Linked DNA regions of Neodiprion lecontei. The protein of the gene in region 1 interacts with the protein of each later gene in a pairwise test. Links are inferred from orthologs where the notes say so. Each region holds a gene or a part of one and is shown in the gene's direction. Other genes may lie near its edges. The genes, in order: axin and glycogen synthase kinase-3 beta.

The links.
Region 2: the proteins of axin (region 1) and glycogen synthase kinase-3 beta interact in a two-hybrid assay, tested with the Drosophila melanogaster proteins (2 studies listed by BioGRID, with this or other methods). The link is inferred for Neodiprion lecontei from reciprocal best matches to the Drosophila melanogaster genes Axn and sgg.

What each region holds. Positions count from the first base shown.
Region 1 is NC_060261.1:3,713,934-3,720,545, reverse strand, and holds the start of axin, read left to right. Parts: upstream 1-2,730; 5' UTR 2,731-2,843; intron 2,844-4,481; exon of another isoform or gene 4,482-4,560; coding exon of another isoform or gene 4,561-4,781; intron 4,782-4,859; coding exon of another isoform or gene 4,860-4,925; intron 4,926-5,263; coding exon of another isoform or gene 5,264-5,353; intron 5,354-5,598; coding exon of another isoform or gene 5,599-5,659; exon of another isoform or gene 5,660-5,673; intron 5,674-5,764; exon of another isoform or gene 5,765-5,803; intron 5,804-6,568; exon of another isoform or gene 6,569-6,601; intron 6,602-6,612. Other genes in the region: uncharacterized protein LOC124292941, read right to left, coding at 4,561-4,781, 4,860-4,925, 5,264-5,353, 5,599-5,659.
Region 2 is NC_060265.1:25,391,113-25,397,603, forward strand, and holds the start of glycogen synthase kinase-3 beta, read left to right. Parts: upstream 1-2,983; 5' UTR 2,984-4,957; coding exon 4,958-5,144; intron 5,145-6,491.

The sequences.
Region 1 (6,612 bases):
TGTCCAATCAGGGACGAAATTCCAAGACGGATATGATTTTTGGATATTGGACGTGTTCGGAATTGTTTGTCAGCACGTTGTTGATGTTGGATAACTGGGTTGTTGACGCTCGATTGTCAATAGTTGAGTCATTATTAACCACTTGAACTTAACTGCCAAGGCTTCATAGATACGTCAAGCGTGTCCGTGCTGCAACTGCCAAAAATCGCAAAATGGCGTCTCAAAGTAATTCAATCTTTTTGGGTAAGTCAGGTGAATTTTGACAACATATGTTTCACGTATTTTTGACATCTAGGAATCCGATTACGACTATCGGAGATTATATCTTCCGCGTATTCATAGAGATTCGATTCCTCGAAGTTAAAGAATTTTTGATCATCTCATCATTTTCTAGCATTTTATTTAAACACTTAGTAATACTATTTTTGAGTTCAAACTTGTGAATGTTTGATAACGCAATACCGATCTTTGATAGTCGATCGTTTATTCGTAAGTATTGAAACATAATTGTAGTTAGGTATTAATCCCGGGAGTTTGTCCAATTCTGGTACATCTAACGTTCGGCAGCTCCTCGTTGAACTGTAAATTGCATTGGAATTTGTTTTCCCGTATGGGTAATCGCTTCTTCTTCGCAATATATATTTCCAAAAACAGAAGTTTTCCCAAATTTTTTAGTACTTCATGCCATTTTCTGCGACCCCTCTGGGAGGGAATGAAATTATAATCAACTGACTAAATATAACGTATCCGGTTGTACTTTTTTTTTTTTTATTTCAATTTTTTTCTCGGTAAATAGGTCCTTTTAAGACCAAAGATTGGATAGGTTAGCTTTTTTGGCTCACCCCAGTATGTATGCATGTATATATGTATGTACGTGTGACAAGTTTTTTCTAACAATTATCACGTTTCACAACGCAAAGCGCATATTTCCCAGAGTAGAATCGAGTGCTATATTATTCTGCATGCCTACCATATTTAATATACACGTGCGTAAAAAATGTGTGTAATAACATCCAGCAATCAGATAGTACATTATAGTTTAGGCAAGGCATAATTATTGTGTGACGTATAAAGATTTTGTTTGTATTCGACACAAACTTCACTGTAAATAGTAAGGCGCGAGACAATTCCGAGAAAATCGAACGAGGAAAATTTGTGCGTACTCGTATACGTTGTACTTTTCAAATTAACGGTAAACTTAATTATCGCCAGCTCTGTATGGAATCTCGTTACCGACAATTTTTTTTTCTTCTCTTCATGTTTTCACTCTCCACGCAATTCTAAAAACAGACGTATTACGATATTGCAAGTTATTAATATTTTATAATTAATTTTCATCGAAAATAATCAGTTTGTTATTTTTATAATTTCTCTCCCGATTGTAAAATGTCGGACCTTGTCGAGGCCTCCGTCTACAATTCGTAGTGATAATTGCCGATTATAACGGTGAAGTGAGAGCCCAATTTGACCTGAAAAAGGTTGCGAACACAGAATTTCCTCTTGGTGGTGGGGGAACAAAGGACGTCGCATCCAGGTATGCGTTCAGGTACCTTTGGGAAAAGTTGGAAATTATATGAAAATATGCAATGCTTTATTCTTGTTGAATGTAAATATTTTCGAATATTAAGTGTATGGCGAAATATTACTATTCGACAATGGAGGATAACCTGAAACTGAAAATAAATTTTTTTACGAGGAGATTGAATATGAAAGAAGCATACACGAGAACTTTCGCAAGTCGATATTTACATTTTATTAATATTAATTTTTTTTTACATCGCAGCTTATTTTTCATCATTTAATGTCTCACCTATGGAGTCTTGCGCAAATTGGGATAATTCAAGTCGTCGTAGAAACATGCGAAATCATCCCGGTATCTGGTGTAAATATGTAACGAATGCAGAAATTAGCTCCCATTTAGTGCTGTCAGCAATCTTTTATCTCTTTGGCGCCGCAGTTCGCGAGGAGCTTTGCCTCTGTCCTAAGAAGTTTTCACCGTTGCCATCTAATTTCGAATTCTTTAAAAGAATTGACATTAAACAAGAACAACGTATTGCATTCTGATTGGTTGATTAAACTTTGCAAACCAATGAGAACGCTTGCCTGGTAGGAAGTGTGAAATCACATTATCTTGACCCTGAGCGGCAGCTCGCAAAGATCGTTGAATTGGCGGCTAAAAATTTTAACGCGGTTCGGCTATACCTGGAAAAGTCCTTCTACAGTTCTCATTGTCCCTTCTGCAGATGCAAGTATTTTTATTAAGTACCTTGAGACAGCTGCAGCTGCACAATGATGGTCACTAGAGGTGTGCGGGTACTGAAATTTTTCGGGTCGTGTACCTGAGAATCTCGAGTTCCTCAAGAATGTTGGGTTTTCCGAAAATTTTGCTCGTATCTATTTTCGCTTCTCCAAAAATATCGGGATTTCTAAAGTGAACGGAGATTTTCGAAGATTTCGGATTACCCGAAGTTTTCAAATTACCCGATGTTTTTAGATTACCCGAAGATTTCCGGTTTGCCAAAAAACCCGACCCGAACCCGACTTCGAGTACCCGAAATTTCGATTACCTTTCATTTTAATCTTTTGATCACCTCGTGCTCAGCACAGAAACTTATTAAAGTCTCGGACGTTACAGTAAGGCGAGACATGATTACCATGCACCATTTTTGAACTGATTTTACTTTTTCCTTCCTAACATTTCTCTCTTTATATCTTTCAGAAAAAAAATTATTACGCAGCCCTCGAGACTCGAATAAAACGAACGTGGCTCGAAGACTTAATTGCCAAGCTTGGAATCGAAATAAGGTGTTTCAAATGAGGCGAGGCTACGTCTATAAAATAAGGTAAACGAGTCTTATTATTTTTTTAAGGTATCGAATTTGACGATTCGAAAGCATAAATACCATGATTATTTTTCTCATCACGCGACCTATGATGTTTAACAATATTCAGGCAAGTAAATTATGCCAAATTTATATGCCCATAATTTCGATTTTTATCGTTATTCATTTTTCATTCTCCGTGCATATTTTCTTCTAACGTTTTGATGAAAGTCTTGTACTTTCAGCAAAGCCCAAATTTTTGTCTTTCACAGGACATCCACCTGTGTAATCGGTTCTTTGAACAGTGATAATCGTTCCAGTTTTCTTATTCAAAACATGCGACATATGCATCACAGCCCTTTTTCCGCTGCAGGGATCTTCCTCCGTTATTTTTGTGTTGTATTGCTTAACGTCTGGTGATATCTCTGGAAATTACATCAACGTTTATTATCTAAACCGAATACTTATATTACTCTGCACGAACTTCACTCGTCAGTCTTGCACCTGTAGAATTACTGGACTTTGTCAACAAGCCAGTAACTCGGATCCGATTAGTTAGCAACTATAACACATGGACACGAAATTTATTACATCACCTTTTTCCACCGTTTCCATAAGTGGTCGTGATGTTATTTTCGATGTATCCAGGGTAGTGTCGTGAGGTATTCCAAAACTCTTTCCTTTGGAAACGGTTGATAGAGACGTCATATTCATCACTAAAGAACGGTATTTGTTCAAATTTACTCTTCGAGTGATTTAATTAGCGAAACGTACCGCAAAGTTACACTAACAATTATACAACAAGGCTTGACTTACGATAGTCCTCCATGTCCACTTCCAATTCGTCCTCGTTTACGTCGCAGGCGGACATTTTGGCTGTAAATTGAAGAGTGAAGGGAAAACTCCTGGGATTAAACCGCACCGAAAAAGTTAAATAAAAAAATATCTTCCCTTTTTTGGGGGGTGATCGTGACGGCTGTAACGGAAATCATTGTTCATGGTTTCGATGCTTCTAAACGCGGGTTTAGAGTTCGAAAAGAGAAATGCAAGGTTATAACCAATGCCGAACGAACCACCAGCTACAATGCAATTCCAGTCAACTAAATTACGGTATATCATTGAAATTTTAATAGTCAATTTCCGACACATCACATTCGCCACTTTCTGATACGATCATCCTCAAAGTTCCATAATCAATTGCAATGCAATTCCGTCCCTTTAATTTACCGTGCTTTTTTCCCTGACTTCCACATCCGGATCTCTTCATTCTTGGTTTTAATGTCTTGGTGATTTTTTTTTTTTTCTTTTTGTTTATTCAACCTGGGTTAATAATCTCAAGACTGGAAAATATTTACATCAATTTCGAATTTGGTTAGTTTAGAATTTGGAGACAAAAATTTGTTTCATCGATACCAAGCTGTTAACACGACATCTGTTTTCAGATCATCTTTGTTTTTTTTACCATTGCTACTCAGTTTCTATATACATTTGTATTTTCGATTTCGTCCTAATCCTCTAATCAAGCAACCAAATCAGTAATTATATCGTGATAGAAACTCATTAGTTTTTTATACACAACATACGGATGGAATTGGTGATATAATGAACAAAGAAGGATATACGTAAATGGACAAATTCATGCGATTTATTATTATCGTGAAACGTTCCTTGTCACAGAGACGTTCTACTGTTGATAATTGAATTGTTTTTTTTTTTTTCTATCAACGTTTTACAATTTTCAATAAAACCCGTTTCCGTTGTCGTCGTCCATATTAAGCCATCTCCTAGCAATGTCGATTCTGTGCCTTGTTCCATTCGGCTTTTCATCAATTTTACGATCCAATTGCATAATTTGACACCCCTCGTTGTCCCTGACATCACTGGTGTGTCTCAATCTTCGTCCGAATTTCAAGCACTCTTCGAACGTTACGTTGAACATTTTAGACCCGTCAGGCATTTCTAAACAATTTATTTTCATCATTTTCATGCTTCATCCGTTTCAAACAACATTCGAATTCCGAGTAAAACATTAATTACCAAAGGCTTCTGCTCTGGTTGTTCTTTGATTCCTTTTCGGTGTACTTGTATACATTTTGTAATCATCTATTGAATCGGAAAAACATTTTTCATTAGTTCTCGAAGCAGAAAAAAATTTCTACCACTACGAATTTTTACAGAAATTTCAACACTTCGTATTATATCTTAAAAAAAAATTGTAAACATGCATAATTTTTCTTAAAGAATTATTAATTTTCGTTAAAAATCGTAACAGCTTGTAGAGTTTTTTTTTGAAACAATAGATAGTTTCATGAAAATCTACAAGCTTTTACAAGTACGACAATAATTTTTTGCACAATGTCGTACGAAATGACCCGATTTTCCGGAAAAATTTCGTAGAAAATTGTAGCAATCATTTTCACCGGGGTAGTTTGATGGCTTACCGCTATTTTCTGCTCTTCCGTAGGTGCTACCCGGAAGATGATAACCTTCCGCCATGCTGTTTGGTCGGTTTCTCTCAGCTCTGTTTTCGACTGAAACAAAGCAATTATGTAATTCTATACGATCTTACGTAATCGGAGTCGGGTGTTAAACACGTTTGCTGGATTCTTATTCTAGCCTAAAGTATTAGGCCTGACACTCGAAACCGAGAATCTCGTCGCAGAGTCAGGGCATTTTATTCCTTGGCTTGAAAAAATTCCGATTACGATAAAGTTAATTTTAGTTTACTTGGTAAAAATTAGTAAAAAGAATACCGCAGAGCTGCATAATTACTCACGATACGACATTATGTCTGATTCGTAATCCTGTGTAGAATCGTGCATGTAGTCAGCCTCCATGCAGGAAAAATCCTCTGGGAATTGATAAATAGTTGCTCTAATTGCACCGGTAACAAATCTTACTTTTTTTTTTTTTTTTAAGCTAAACAATAAGAATATACTTACTTATTGAACTTAACGGAGTCCAATCGGCACCCGACGTATCTGTGGAGAAGAATAATAAATTTGATTGTTTGTTTCTTTGCCGAAAAGTTGCAGCTTTAGCCATTTCACGCAAACATTTTTCCTTACATGCGATTCGCTTGAAATTTAGTATACCTGCGTGGACTTTTGGGGGCGCTGATCACGAGTCTAAACTCGAAATTTGAATGTTCAAAATAACGGATCCAATATGGCGGACGTAAATTCAAAAGGTTAGTTGATTTTGACGAAAATTTATGTTTCGTGGTTTTTCGGGTCACTCATTACGAGTTTGAACGCGAATTTCGGAAATTCAAAATGGCGGATCCAATATGGAGAACGTAAATTCGAAAGGTTAGTTGATTTTGATAAAACTTTATGTTTCGTAGTTTTGGGGTGACTCATTACGAATCTGAACTCGAATTTCGGAAATTCAAAATGGCCGACCCAATATGGCGCACAAATAAAAACAACAAGAAAAATGTTGAAAAAATTCTGTAAAATTTTTTCGCGTGTATTAAGCTTGTGTAAAAATTGGCAATCGGATTTTCATGGCAGATTAATTGAAAATGCTTTTCTTTCATCGAAAAGTAGAAATTTCGACCATTTTTACAATAAACAAATAAATAAATTTGATATTTTTTTTTTAGAGTTCGAAATATTTCAGGGACCATGCGAAACGAAAAAACTTGGCAGTTGTTTGCAGAAAAGTAGTTCGATAAATAAAAAGCTACAAAAAGAAAAGGTTAATAGGTTAAAGGGTTAAACAATTCACAGTTCATTACTCACCATTGAAGTCGGATTCACGTATAGAGCGATTGACTGGAATGTAA
Region 2 (6,491 bases), on another chromosome or scaffold:
GCGGGGTTGAAATTCCGAATTTGAAAACTTCCAAAAGCGCCAAATTCTAAATTTTTTCGTAGCGTAATTTGAAGCAAAGAAATCAACCTCTGACGAATCATCGAAGTTTCGAACGGTCCGAAACCCGATCCTCAAAGTTGTAAAAGTGCAAAGTTCCGAAAGGGCATAACTCTGACAAGCCAAAGTTCCGAAAGTCCGAAAATGAGAAAATTTAAGAATCTGAAACGTCGAAATTCCGAATGATCCAAGATTTTCAGATCTGTGAATTTTTGGCTTGTTGAAATTTAACCACTTTAATCTTTTTGTTGTTTTGTATTTTCGATATTTTTACGTTCGCAATCCTGGTTTTTATGATTTTTTTCACCCCCTCGCTGAGTAAACTCCGCTGAGTGAGTATATTTTAATTTTCGGAATAATATCTACTTTATCGAAATTTTGCTCTGACGGAACTTTACTTTTCGAAACATCGCTCTATCGTAACTTGAATTTTCGGAATTTTGCGTTCCAGAACTTTGAGCCGTCGCGTTTCCGACCATTCGAAACTTTGCTGTTTCGTCAAAGTTTGATTTCTTTTACTCAAGTTTCACCACCAAGTAATTCGGAATTAGGCGCTTTCGAAACTTTAACCCCACCCAAAATTTCAGACATTCCTAAGGGTCCGAAGTAACGTTACTAACTTGAATCTCATGAAATTTTGTTGCTGTAAAGTTGCGCAGAGTATACCTTATACGATGCAGCCGTGTAACTTTGGTGTAGTTATTAACCTCTAGACGGCCGGCAACGCCACAATAGTGGTGTTGCCATGATTCGAACATATCCGGGGAACATTGGGGGATCATTATATAGAAGTATCTCACCAAAGTAGGCATGTATCAACGAAAAAAAATCCCGGTCGCAAACAGGTTAATACAGGCAGGCAGTGTGTAGAAGTTGTTGTTCAAATTGTCCGAAACGCGTCTTTGGCGTCAATTACAAATTCCATTGTATACGCGAATAAAGCGAGCTCCATTTAATACTTCGTACAGTTGAGAAGAAATAAACACGCTGACCAATTAAAACCTCCAGAGTCTAATGACGATAATGGAATTCTCCGAGCACCACTCGCTAGACCATAACAGCGACAACGTCGTCATCTTCCCGATCAATTACGCTGCACGGTGCGCTCTGTAGATGCTGCCTCTTCATAACTTGCAAGATATTATGTTCATCAAGCATTTTACTCGCGTCTCAATTCCTATTCATTATGCGTGCCTTGTGTATAATCTCGTGTCTGAAACTCGCGGTTACGCCCTCGAGCATATCCGCCGAATCCTGCCTGCATCTATCCACGCGTCGTTTTCTCATTACATATACATATATATTAGAATATGTATGTATGTATGAATTATATATATATATATATAGGGAAAAACTGATGCAAGCATTGGAAATTGATTGGATATACTGGGGGTATAATGTAATAAGATAAGAATCAGGTGGGTTTCAATAATTCATTTTTTGTTCGTAAATATATATAATAGTGTGCGATTTTTCTCACGGTTAGCAAGTAAAAACTTTTTGGCGAGAGACGCGCCTTTCAAGTTTTTTCCACGCGCGGTCGTTAGCAGCGGATAATATGCCTGCGTACTGTAAATTTGGCATGTTAGATATAGTCGTGACGTGTGTACGTGCATGTTGTAAATTTTTTTTTCAAAGAATTGGAAAAAATCTATCACACAATACGCGATTCTGATTCCCGCCTTGCGGGATCCGAGAAGCGAGTTGTCGGGTACAACAGGCGTGCAATTATAGACACACACACGCATTCGTATACACGTACGTAATGCGGTCATTCGCGTTTTCTGCAAATTTCCTGCGCGGACTTTGCGTCGATCTTTGTTTCTTTGTCTCACCCCCGGATCGTACCGCAATCGTTGTTATTGCCAAGTGCGATTGTGTGTATGTGCGATTCTGCGAACGATTCTACGTACGTACGCGAATATACATAGTATGTGTATGCGGTATGGAAATGATGACGTATAAGGTGCCTTGTGTGCCTCGTGACGTAGGCGAAATATCGACGGTTGCCGACGATTTTCTCCATCCTTGCCAATTTCGTTGCGACGCGCTGCTTTCCCTATCCCCCGTGTATTTATAAATATAGAGAGCGACGTTTGCAGATATTTAACGATATATTGATTGTTATTATTAACTATCTTATTATTGTATTAACTGTAATCTGTGCTGTTGAATTATTAATTACACGAAGAGAGAAAGAGGGAGAGAGGGACCAGGAATTTAATTCATACATTCTCGCAAATTTCAAGACAATTTAATATATTTGTAATCCTTTTGATTTGAAAATTTTGTTTCTTTGTACGTATGGCATATAACGCAGTTTAAGTGCTGGGGAAAAATATTTCTCATATTACGTATATTTCGTATATTTCGTATATTTCGTCTGATCCACGGTCTCGTATTACAGGTTTTGTAATTTTTTGTTTTTCCATTCGTCGGCGACTCTTAATAGAAATTATACCGCAAGTAAAAATGAAATCATTATTACCCCAAAACCCTCCAAGAATCTGACCACTATCCACATGATAAAAAAAAACAAGGCTCTGTTTACACACTTCCCATTTTTGCTACACTTGATTATCGAATGTTTTTTCAACAAACTTTTCAACAATATTTACTATAGAATTGGATAGAAGAAAAAACAAAGCTGCTTGTGTTCGGTGAAACAAAGATTTTACCGACAGAGAGAATTTCCCTCCCAATTATTACGCACATACAGCTATGCCAATGCCACGTCGTGTTATTTGGAATTTTTCGAATCGCATGGTTTGTGCCTATTTTTATCTATGTACAATCATCGTACATGTACGCGGTATAGTAAACGTACGTTTAACACGAGTCGGTCTATTCTCCCCACTCGGTTCGGAAACGCCTCTCTTTCTCTCTGTTTCTCTCTCCTAAGCCAACCTCTTCCCTCATCGTCAGTCGCTATATCATCAGATCGGTGAACAGACGGCCGCGTACAGGTCGCCCCCAGAACTGACCTAAAAATGTGAACAGTTATTCAACCCGGCGACGACAGTTTCTTACTTTACTGCCTTTAAATCTGTGTATATTGCTCGGGGTATCGACCGTTCTCGCTGGTTTTTTTCTCACTTTTAGAAACATTCCCTCATTAATCTCCGCGCGATTAATCACTGACATGTGAACAAACGATGACAAAAGAAATTGGTGAAAAATTTGTGTTTTTCTTCAACCGCGAACCGCGTCGCTCGCATCATATTTGCAATGCGAAGGAAACATACGCGCTTAACATATTTTCGCTTATATTTTAATGATGAAATAATTTCACGCAACTGTATATAGGTATAGTTCGTATGTGAAGATTTGAAAAAGAAACGAAGAGTTGAGAGGATAAAAAGAAAGGAAGAATGGCGATAAGATTCTGTGTCCGTGAATGCTGTGTGCGTCGTTATCACGAGTAACATTCAAACGTGAAATGTAAAGTATCGCATTTCTTCTTCACAAGTGGATAATGTAATTTTAATCATCATTATTGTAATTTTCCGTTTTTATACATTACTCGTTTAAATGCCGTGACGTATGTAACTGAATCGTTCGTTCAGTGCCTGACTACAGTGTATTCCCGGACATCCATCGCGCTGTGCAGCGGTAGAAACAGGGATTTGCGTTACTGGTGAATTATTTATCGATCCCGGCTTCGCGCTACAGCGTTGAATAAAATTAATATATTGTTTGGATTTGGATATCGTATCGAGAGTGGTGTCGCATGTGTTATTAAACCTCGTCTCGCCTTCCAGTGCTCATCGTCGTCGTCGTCGTCGTGTCCAATAATAGCGTCGCAAGTGCACGGACCAAGTGTGTGAAATTAGAATAGCATATACAAATATGCGAAATCGAACGACTATTAACGCGGAGACTGTAATAAATGATAATATACTAAACTGATAAAAATCAACACTCCGGTATCGAAGGTGGAAAAATTATCACATCTAGTGTATTTGATTATAATATTTGGTCTTCTCTCTTTACATACGCGATTTAATCCAGCGGCGCCACGGCTCGTTTTTATTGCTGATATATTATACGGCAAATAAATATTTGAGCGTGTTTTACACGTAGTACGTTTTTTTTTGTTTTCAAATGAAACATCTCGAAAGTGGTGGAAACGTAAAAAGGAGAGAAGAAAAATCTTTATTTGCACCAACTGATATCGCTCATATTCTGCGTGCAGACCGCTAAAAATAGAGCCGACTCGCTGACAAAATATTTACCGCGAACAAACAATATTCGTCAAATGTTCACGGGGAAGTAAATTGAACTGTTGATGTATAACGGAGACGAAAAAAAAAATATACATACATTATAAAATAAAATCTTATACAGCCTCTTATACATCACTCACGTGTTGTTGCGTATAAACCATAGAGTGACGAGAAGTGGAAATCTTATTGATAAACTAAAACGGCGAATAATCAAATTTCAACAACTAATCCATAATTCAATATCTACTCGAGGTGAAGAATATTATTCAACTCTTTTCTCTCCGTAATACTATTCTTGCTTTTTAAAATCCTATAAAAATGTTCGTCAGTCTCGAAATATTGTGTTTACACATGTATAATAATTCGTGGTGGTTCCAGTGATATCACTCGGATATAAACGAAGATTTTACAGGCTTACGACGGTTAAGCCAAGACTTTGAGTCCGTAAGATTTAAGGATCGATTTGCATTTTTCTTTTTAAATTCGTGAATGAAATTCACCGTGTGTGTGTATACATATTTGTAACACGTGTAACCAAACCAGTTTATAACGAAGCGGAAATAGGAATATTGGCAAAATACCGTATAACCTTCCTTAAAACGTGAAATAATCCAGTACACTGAACGATATACTTGTACAAAGTTGTTAAAAAAAAAAATAAAACAAACAAATAAATGGCGCCCGCGAACACGTTGAATTGGTCAGAACCGCGCCAGGAATGGCGTTATCCAAAATTCTGTCTGTCGGGTCAAAGGGGCGATAAACCAGCGTCGAAAAGCACGTTGGAAGTCAACGAAAAGGAGGCCGACAGTGCCTACAAGAAGATTTGCAAATTTTTACGAAATCTCGGTGTTAAAAAACGTAAGTTTTTTTTTTCACGCTCTATATATAATGCGCTATAACGCGGGTGATCTTTTTCATCCATGAATAAATTATTATCATACTAGTTCGTGGAGTTGTTTCGAAGAAGATTATAAAATGAGAAAGAAATTCCGACGGAGCTTTGACCCTCGCTCGTGAATGTGAGTGAAACAAGCAAAATGGAGATTTGTTGTTGTCTGCTTTTGAAATATTTCGGTACATCTAGACGTGCCATTAATACATCAAACCACGTGTTCGCATCGCGTGCTTGATATATTTGTCTGTATTTTTGTCTCGCGAATACGAATTTTTATTGTGACGGATAAATTTTAAACCGATTATTGTGTATTATTGTAGACAAATAGTCATGGATGCGTATGAAATGAACAACTTGCACAGAGATGACAAGATGTCGTTACTCCAATATCGTTAATTGCTGCTTAATTTGCTAAAAAGTGCTCTCGTAACTCGCAAATGAATTCTTAACAAATTACGAATGTTGTGGATAATTTTTCATACGGTTGATCAAAGTTTTTTTTTTTTTTATCAAATCCCGAGTCTACACAATTATCGTGATGATTTCTATAACGGTCAAGTTAGAAAAACAAACTGCCAGCGCAAAGTGATCTGCTTAAAACTAGTCGACAAGCTTCCACGTTTACCCAAGTCAAAAATTATTGCTTTCATAAAAGTCAAAAGCCGAGAGCTACTTCGGTTGTAATTTTCTCCCCCTTTTTTTATGTTCTAAAGCTTACGTTTGACTTAAGGCTAGGTGAATCTTTGTGAAACGTAGCTGTTTGTCGTTGAAGTAGGTGTACTGTTCGAACTATATGCTTATAAATATACGCGTTGGCAAGCGAGACGTTTGCTTAACTTCAGCTCCTCGTACGATCTGAATATTCATTTGGTTTTATGCATTAATTTATTGTGCCGCGCCGTTCCTACGCAATAAGTACCCGCGAGTATTGTAACAACGTTACGTATACACCACGTATGTACCTAGATGCGAATCGTGATAGGTTTTTGCTATTAGAAGCAGGGCGAAACCGCATAACTCTCAGCAGGTGTTCGCTCGGATTACGTACATAGGAGAAAATAGCTCATCTACATACATATATATGTAATACATATAAGTATATATGTATCGTACAGCGGTTACGCGTGACAAATATGGCGGCTTCATTTATCGAGCATAATTAACCATTTCAATATCGTATGCTATGCTATTTACATGCTTATGCCGTGCATGATGTTTACGTGCAAGAGTTGTAAAATTTGTTGAAAACTCGTGTAACACAGGTAATAAGAAATAACTCTTTATACTTCTCTCTCTCCCTCTCTTTCTCT